Xenopus tropicalis: one gene and its partner. The protein of the gene in region 1 binds, or shares a complex with, the protein of each later gene. Links are inferred from orthologs where the notes say so. Each region holds a gene or a part of one and is shown on either strand. Other genes may lie near its edges. The genes, in order: cul3 and kbtbd8.

Region 1 (3,820 bases):
CATCTGGGACTGCTGCTGCCTTAGGTGCTTTGAAGCATGTATTTTCACTGCTAAAGTGCTGTAGAGGTACTGAGCACGGCAGAAGCCCAATACATAAACTTAATCACATTTCTTTTTGTTGAGCTTGAATTAAGCTTTATATATAATTAATTGCACAGTCAAAACAAGACACGCCACAGGTCTTGAGAGTTTAAAATTCAAATCTGACACAGACAGAGCCTTTCCAATATAGAGTCAATGAACATTTTCAATTATTTTTGTGGGTTTTTTTTTGTTGTTGTTTCTGTTCTATAGCCTTACAATTCAACTTTTTTTTTTTTTTTTTTTTTTTTGAGTTTTTGTATGAAGGAATTTTACATGAGGAAAAAAAAAATTCCCAACCTACCTTTAACTTTGAAATCATATTTTTTTCAGAGTCATCAGAAACACTCTTGTTGGTGAGGAGCCTTCTGGCCAAATGTTGTTTATAGTAACGCTCAAACACATCTTTCTCTTGCATGAATCTAAAGAGAACCATTGCCTTGTCCAAAATTGACTCTACTTCCTGTTCTGTTAGCTTAAAAGAAAGACAAAGAAATCATAAGCATGGTGATTTAAATAAATGCATCTTAATATACCTATTACGGGCTGTAACATGAAGATGTGCACAAATAAAAGACAGAGCTCTGTCCATTCTGTAGCCATGCTGTAACAAGTATTGATGCCACTGGTTATTGTGTTAGCACAATTAAACTGGTTGTTCACCTTTGAGTTAACTTTAACTATGATGTAGAGAGTAGTATCCGGAGAGAATCTACAATTGGTCATTTTTTATTTGTGGCTTTTTCATTATTTAACTTTTTGTTCAGCAGCTTTCCAATTTATAATTTCAGTAGTTATCTAGTTACTAGGGTTCAAATTACTGCAGCAACTAGGGAGTGGTTTAATAGAGACTGGTATATGAATAGAAGAGGGCCTAGAAAAATAAGAGAAAAATAAGTAATAAAAAGCTAACAGCTGCTGGGGTCAATCTCCTGTAAAGAGTCACAGTTGGGAGTCAAATAAAAAAAACAATTGAAAATTTGCTTTGAATCAGCCATTCTATAACACACTAAGGGGCAGATTCACTAAAGGTCCATAAAACGAGTGCTATTTATAGCATGCGTTAAAAATTTTATCAATTCTTATTGATAACGATCAATTCACTAAAAGGACACTTGTCATAATTAAGAAGCGATGAAAACTGCAGGATGCATCACTCTAGGGCCAAAACATACTTGAAAAAATACGACTGCAAACTCCATGTTGAGCTGCCAAAAGCTCACGAACAGCAATTTTCTTTAAGTACCGCCTGCCCCAAGTAGGTGTTAATCTTTGCACAGATTAACTCGATATTTTGTGCATTTAACGCTTCATATGTGTTTTTGAATCATGCGTTAGTACTATTTTTATTAGTTAATTAACGCAATAAGTTAGAAATAACGCTTTGCGATGATGCGGTTTTTTGCACATACGATATGCGGATTAACGCATGTGAAATGACTTTGATGAATCGGTACTTAATTACTGCATGCTTTTTAACAAAAAAAAAACTATGCGATATGTGTTATCAACCTTTAGTGAATCGGCCCAAGAATTAAAGGTGAACCGCACCTTTAATCAAATGAGACAGTGGGGCAAGCCCCAGGGTAGGATACCTACACCGTTATGAAATTTCTGCTAACCCAAAATAACTTCATTAATACTTCTTAGGCAGTTGGGTTAAGCTAGACAAGCACCATGATGCTCGGCACCCTATTTCATGTTACTCCTAAAGGCCTCACAGCATATATTTCTTTTTGCCCTACCTTGAACAGAAGAATTTATCCTGTTGAAATGCACAAAGAAACAAGTCTACAGCTAATCAGAGGCTACTATAGGTAGCCCACAAGTGACAAAGCAACAGCCAATCACAGAACTTATTGGGCAATCCTTTGGAACTTTTTCTACCTTTATGTGGCTTTCAATTACTTTTTTAGGTTTAAATGTGGATCACTGGTGTAAAAGGTTGGGGACCGCTGGATTAAAAATTGTGTGCTTCTGTAGCCACAGAAATTGTACGATTTTGGGGAAAACATTTTTAAAAAGGGCCATTACTTAGATATTGGGTCCTAGGACAGGCAAAGAAGAAATTTCAAAATGATGTTGGTATCCTTTTATTTCTGCCATTTCTGCAGGGCAGATTTATGTCCCTAAAGCAGCTTCTTGTGAAACCATACGCCGATGAGTAAAGGCCTGCTTAATTTTAAAGCTCATTTTTTCAAAACCCTGAATGATAGTCTTAAATAGGCATATGGATTAAAAACAGAAAATAAAAGGTGAGTAACCAAGTATAATGTAAAATTACTTGCACACTGGATGCAGTACTTACTCCTTTAACTCCTTTTTTCAGTTTGTCATCAATAAATAAGGAGAGGTACTCTGGGGATCTGGAGTTGAGATTGAGGAAATACTCAAAGTCTCCAGCAATGGTTTGTTTAAAAAGACGGTCATTACTGAAAGATTCTTGGAGGAAGCGATCAAACCGGCTCTTCAAGTCAAGAAGCCCCTGAAAAATACAGTTGAGAATGTTTATGTTCATAAATTACACTTATGTTTGCCATTTATATCACAATTTCAAATAAAAGTGGTTCCCTTCACTGCTTTAATTATCTGATATGCCAGGCAAACAAAACTATTGCACAAGCAGCATAACCAGTTTAAGACATTTTTGCCGCATTTTGTAAAAGTATCTCCTGGGGCTCATAGCAAAACACCACTGGCAGATGTCAGCATAAATCCTGAGAAATCTGGCATGTTTTTAGAGAAGCAGACATTTAGAAAACATGAATAAACACATGATTTTTTGCCTATTCACATGGTCATACCCCATTATTATCCAGGGGACCAAGCCAAAATGTATAACTTACTATGAGCACAAAATTCCCGCTCGTTAAAAAGGTGTTTTTTCAGATTTCCTATTTCACAGAAGCAACGGAAAAAATAATAGTCTTGTATAAACCATTACCCAGACAGTAGGGGTCATTTACAAGCACAGTTGCGCTCCTGCAATTTTCCCATAATCAGTTGCGCATTAAACCCCAAGGTACATAAATTAAAATGTGCGCTTTGCATTCCTGTGTAGTTGCACACAACGCCAATCAGTTCTTCCTGCCTTCTGGAGCTGCCACCCACCTCCTTACCAGGCGGTAACTCCAGGGTTCCTTTAGCTCCAAGTGTCAACAGGCTCAGGGCACTTGTGCCTAAAGAACTGGGTGCAGAAATGACACTAGATGGACTTCAGCACTATTGCATCCAATTTCCAACAAAATGCATGTGCAGTAGCGGTAATGTTAGTGAATCAATTGTAAATCCATCGCATTCGCACCAAATGCAACAACCCCCTGCAACAGCAATGACGCTTGAATTCTGGGAAAAACATGTCAACCATGCTCAAAAGTGCTCTTTGCTCACTGCTCTTGTGGATGTAAATGACCCTTTGTGCCTTGCATCCCCCTCCTGCACCTTGTTTTATTGCAAAGTTATGGATTCTGGGATTCAAGTTCTCAAGTGACAACTTTCTATGCCTTCATTAGACTGACAAATGCTTTAAGGTTGCAATATTCTGTTCTAAAACTCTAAAACTTTTTAAAAAACTTAAAAATATAAATTCTATTATCTCGTAACCTGGCAATGGTAGAGTTTCAGTCATTTTGATCATTATGCCTACCTGGATATAATCAACTGGGTTCTTTCCTTCTCCCTCTTCAGATACAAGAGCTTTCCCTTGTTCCCTCAGGTACAGACTCATACATTCACACAT
Region 2 (4,377 bases), on another chromosome or scaffold:
CCAGTGCTCCTTTGTTTAAAAAAAATAAAACACCACACCAGGGTACTATTGTGTATAGCAGGTAGCGGCCATGTTGTTCTGGAGACGAACCGTGATGAATTAAGCTAAACACATTCACAGTACAGGTATATGACCTGTTATCCAGGATGCTTGGGACCAAGGGTATTCCGGATAAGGGATCTTTCCGTAATTTGGATCTCCATAACTTGTCTGCTAAAAAACATTAATTAAACCCAATAAGGGGTAATTATATCTTAGTTGGGATCAAGTACAGGTACTGTTTTATTATTACAGAGAAAAGGGAATCATTTAACCATTAAATAAACCCAATAGGGCTGTTCTGTCCCCCAATAAGGGGTAATTATATCTTAGTTGGGATCAAGTACAGGTACTGTTTTATTATTACAGAGAAAAGGGAATCATTTAACCATGAAATAAACCCAATAGGGCTGTTCTGCCCCCAATAAGGGGTAATTATATCTTAGTTGGGATCAAGTACAGGTACTGTTTTATTATTACAGAGAAAAGGGAATCATTTAACCATTAAATAAACCCAATAGGGCTGTTCTGCCCCCAATAAGGGGTAATTATATTTTAGTTGGGATCAAGTACAGGTACTGTTTTATTATTACAGAGAAAAGGGAATCATTTAACCATTAAATAAACCCAATAGGGCTGTTCTGCCCCAAATAAGGGGTAATTATATCTTAGTTGGGATCAAGTACAGGTACTGTTTTATTATTAAAGCGAAAAAGAAAATCAATTTTTAAAAATTAGAATTATTTGATTAAAATGGAGTCTATGGGAGACAGGCTTTCCATAATTCGGAGCTTTCTGGATAATGGGTTTCTGGATAAGGGATCCCATACCTTTACACAAATCTCTGACGTTCTGCACACAAGTATATCCAAGAGGCAGGAACAAGGTGGCAGTGCCACGCAGCCACTACCCCTGGTTTGTCTATTTCTTTATAGATGAGCCTAACACATTGGCACCCTCCATTGATTTTGGCATTAGTTTCTTTAATTTCTGACCATAAAAGCTCTTAAACACTTCCATACAGTTGGGATATTTCAAAGGGCAAAAATTGGGTTATGCAATAAAAAGACACAAGGAGCAGTAACCCATAGCAACCAACCAGCAGGTAGAATTCACTGGTCAACTGTTTAAAACAACTGAATAGGTTGCTAGGCGTTACTGCTACTGGGCAAACATAGAGACTCGCATTACTGAAAGAGTCCAAATGCTAAGTTGCTATGTATCTTGTACTACACCAGGCCCCTCCCCTTGTGACACCCAATAACTCCTAGCTCCTCCCTTCAGGCGCCGCTAATAACACAAACTTGCCCCGCAGCTGCCTCTCAGGCCGTACCTTCTCCCAGCATGCCCTGCGCGCCTGTGACACGTCACGCAGAGTAACGCCCCGCCCACTCTTCACCCGGCTTGCCCCAGACAACAACAACAACTACCGACGTGCTTCGCGGCGGCCCGTCCAATAGAAACGCGGCAGGAACAGACTCCGGCAGCTGTGATTGGCCGATAAGCAACATCCGGGTTCCCCAAAGGAAGTAAGTGACGTTTCCTGCACAGGCTGGAGCCGGAGGAGGAGGAGGAGGAGAATGGCTGCACAGGGAGGTGGGTTGTTTGGGGCTGGGAGAGGCCGGCTCCGCTTTGGGTATTTGTAGTTGGTTTTGAGGGGAAAGCTTTTCTCCTATAGGCTGTGGGACTTGCCGCTTGATTAATGGAGGGGGGCACTGAGTAATTCAGGAGGTGGGGGGTAAGTATTTACACTCAAGGGCTTTGCAACCTGTGGCTTTTGCTGAACTTCACTTTCCCTGGGGGCTTAGCCAGCGGGTTTAGCCAGTGACAATTATAAAGCAGGTATCTGCTATTGGGCTTTATACAAGCGGGCCCTTGTGAGTCTGTGGGCTCCCAGCTATTAATGCTTTGAGTGCATGGAATGGTGCCCTGGGCTTTGTTGGCTCTCTGGGTCCTCTCTGTGGGTTATGGTGCTCCCTTTGGATTTATGTATCATGTACCTAATCTCTAGCACATGATTATAAGGGCATTTCATACTTTAATCCTAGGGCACGGTTGCCTACCCGCTAGGGCACGGTTGCCTACCCGCAAGGGCACGGTTGCCTACCCGCAAGGGCACGGTTGCCTACCCGCTAGGGCACGGTTGCCTACCCGCTAGGGCACGGTTGCCTACCCGCTAGGGCACGGTTGCCTACCCGCTAGGGCACGGTTGCCTACCCGCTAGGGCACGGTTGCCTACCCGCTAGGGCACGGTTGCCTACCCGCTAGGGCACGGTTGCCTACCCGCTAGGGCACGGTTGCCTACCCGCTAGGGCACGGTTGCCTACCCGCTAGGGCACGGTTGCCTACACCCCCCCCCCAGGGCACGGTTGCCTACACCCCCCCCCCAGGGCACGGTTGCCTACACCCCCCCCCCCAGGGCACGGTTTGCCTACACCCCCCCCCCCCAGGGCACGGTTGCCTACACCCCCCCCCCCCAGGGCACGGTTGCCTACACCCCCCCCCCCCAGGGCACGGTTGCCTACACCCCCCCCCCCAGGGCACGGTTGCCTACACCCCCCCCCCCCAGGGCACGGTTGCCTACACCCCCCCCCCCCAGGGCACGGTTGCCTACACCCCCCCCCCCCCCAGGGCACGGTTGCCTACACCCCCCCCCCAGGGCACGGTTTGCCTACACCCCCCCCCCCCCAGGGCACGGTTGCCTACACCCCCCCCCAGGGCACGGTTGCCTACACCCCCCCCCCCCCAGGGCACGGTTGCCTACACCCCCCCCCCCAGGGCACGGTTGCCTACAGCCCCCCCCCCCCAGGGCACGGTTGCCTACACCCCCCCCCCCCCCCAGGGCACGGTTGCCTACACCCCCCCCCCCCCCCCCCAGGGCACGGTTGCCTACACCCCCCCCATTCGCAGGGTGTGATTCCTGAACATTATATGCCCAATTTACAAGCCTCTTTCCTATGGCATTATTGTTACATACTTGTTGCCATTCACAGGGCATTATTTTGGCACCCTTCTGGACTTCCCACACCTCCTGTTTCCTACAGATGATTTTGACACTTTCTCTTCTGATCTTTTTACTTGCTACAGGCAACTGCAGTGGTGCATTTTAGTAAGTCACACCCATACATCACTATGCTAATTCAGAATCCTCAGTGTTTACACTATAGGACACATGCCTCCTAGATATAGCAGACTGGGTAAAAATCATAAGTTGAACTTTATACCCCATGTAGGATTCTGGTTCCACGTATCCCTTTACATAAGGGTTTAATTATTATACTTGGATACAATGTGCAGGATCTTATACCAATTACTAGCAACATGTACATCTTGTTAATGAACCTCAACTTCCACAGTCTGCTGGTATCATTAGTGCAAATAAGGGCGTTTGGGTGGAATTTTAATTTTTGTGGTAAGTGACTTATTAGAAGGATGATATGCTCTGGGACAAGGGGTCCGAATAAGTTTGAGGTTGTTTCTGGTTTATAGATCTACAGAGCACAATGACAACGTGACAATATTCCGTTGATCTCTACAAGGTGTTCAATTTGTATGAAAATGGATATCTTCCGGACCAAGTTTATTGGTTTCTCCCGACTGCTTTCCTGACAGATAAAATTTGGCCAAATCTCTGTTGGGCATGTTAAGGTGGCCATACACATTAAGATCCACTCAAATTACAACAACATCGACATCTGGCCGTCTCTCAGCCAGAAAACATAAGATCGTCAGGAGTCCTTTATACATGCGCAGATAAACTGCCGAATCGGTCTGAAGAACCCAAATCTGCCTGTGTATGGCCACCTTAAGGAATTCCTTAGTCCTCTTCCAGTGAGCCTGCATTGTACCTGATTTCTAGCCCAGGGCTAAACAATCAAATCTGCCTGATTTGGCCTTCACTTGGGTGGCCTCTGCCCTCTCTTCTCTTTCTTTGATCTGAAACACCCAAGGAAGTGTCTCTGTGCAGTTTATTGTGTTCAGTTCCCGTAGGTATAGCTCTGTCTCTTCTTTCTTTGTTCTGCAGTTTCCCTGGCTATGGCTCTGAATCCTTTACTTCATACATCACCCTTACCTATCGCTCCCATGAATATGGCGCAGACACCTTCCTCTACAGCTTCCACTGGTATGCTTCCTCTTCTTTCCTCTTTGATTTCCAAGGCTATTGTCCTGTAGTCTTATCTGTATGACTTTCACAGATATATCCCTTTCCTTGCTTTAGTCCCAGTGGGTCCCTTTTGACACTGAATTTCTGTGGGCCAGATCTTAGTTTGCCCATACCTATGAAAGTTGAAATAATCTCACTGGTGTACTAGCAGTATTGCTTAATTTAAATGGGTC

What was found.
Region 2: cul3 (region 1) and kbtbd8 share a complex: the UniProt entries of both Homo sapiens proteins name them as parts of the BCR(KBTBD8) E3 ubiquitin ligase complex. The link is inferred for Xenopus tropicalis from reciprocal best matches to the Homo sapiens genes CUL3 and KBTBD8.

What each region holds. Positions count from the first base shown.
Region 1 is NC_030681.2:123,808,421-123,812,240, reverse strand, and holds part of cul3 (cullin-3), read right to left. Parts: coding exon 3,728-3,820; intron 2,567-3,727; coding exon 2,390-2,566; intron 557-2,389; coding exon 386-556; intron 1-385. UniProt on the Homo sapiens protein: Core component of multiple cullin-RING-based BCR (BTB-CUL3-RBX1) E3 ubiquitin-protein ligase complexes which mediate the ubiquitination and subsequent proteasomal degradation of target proteins.
Region 2 is NC_030680.2:143,295,821-143,300,197, reverse strand, and holds the start of kbtbd8 (kelch repeat and BTB domain-containing protein 8), read left to right. Parts: upstream 1-1,564; 5' UTR 1,565-1,619; coding exon 1,620-1,635; intron 1,636-1,694; exon of another isoform or gene 1,695-1,777; intron 1,778-4,063; coding exon 4,064-4,162; intron 4,163-4,377. UniProt on the Homo sapiens protein: Substrate-specific adapter of a BCR (BTB-CUL3-RBX1) E3 ubiquitin ligase complex that acts as a regulator of neural crest specification.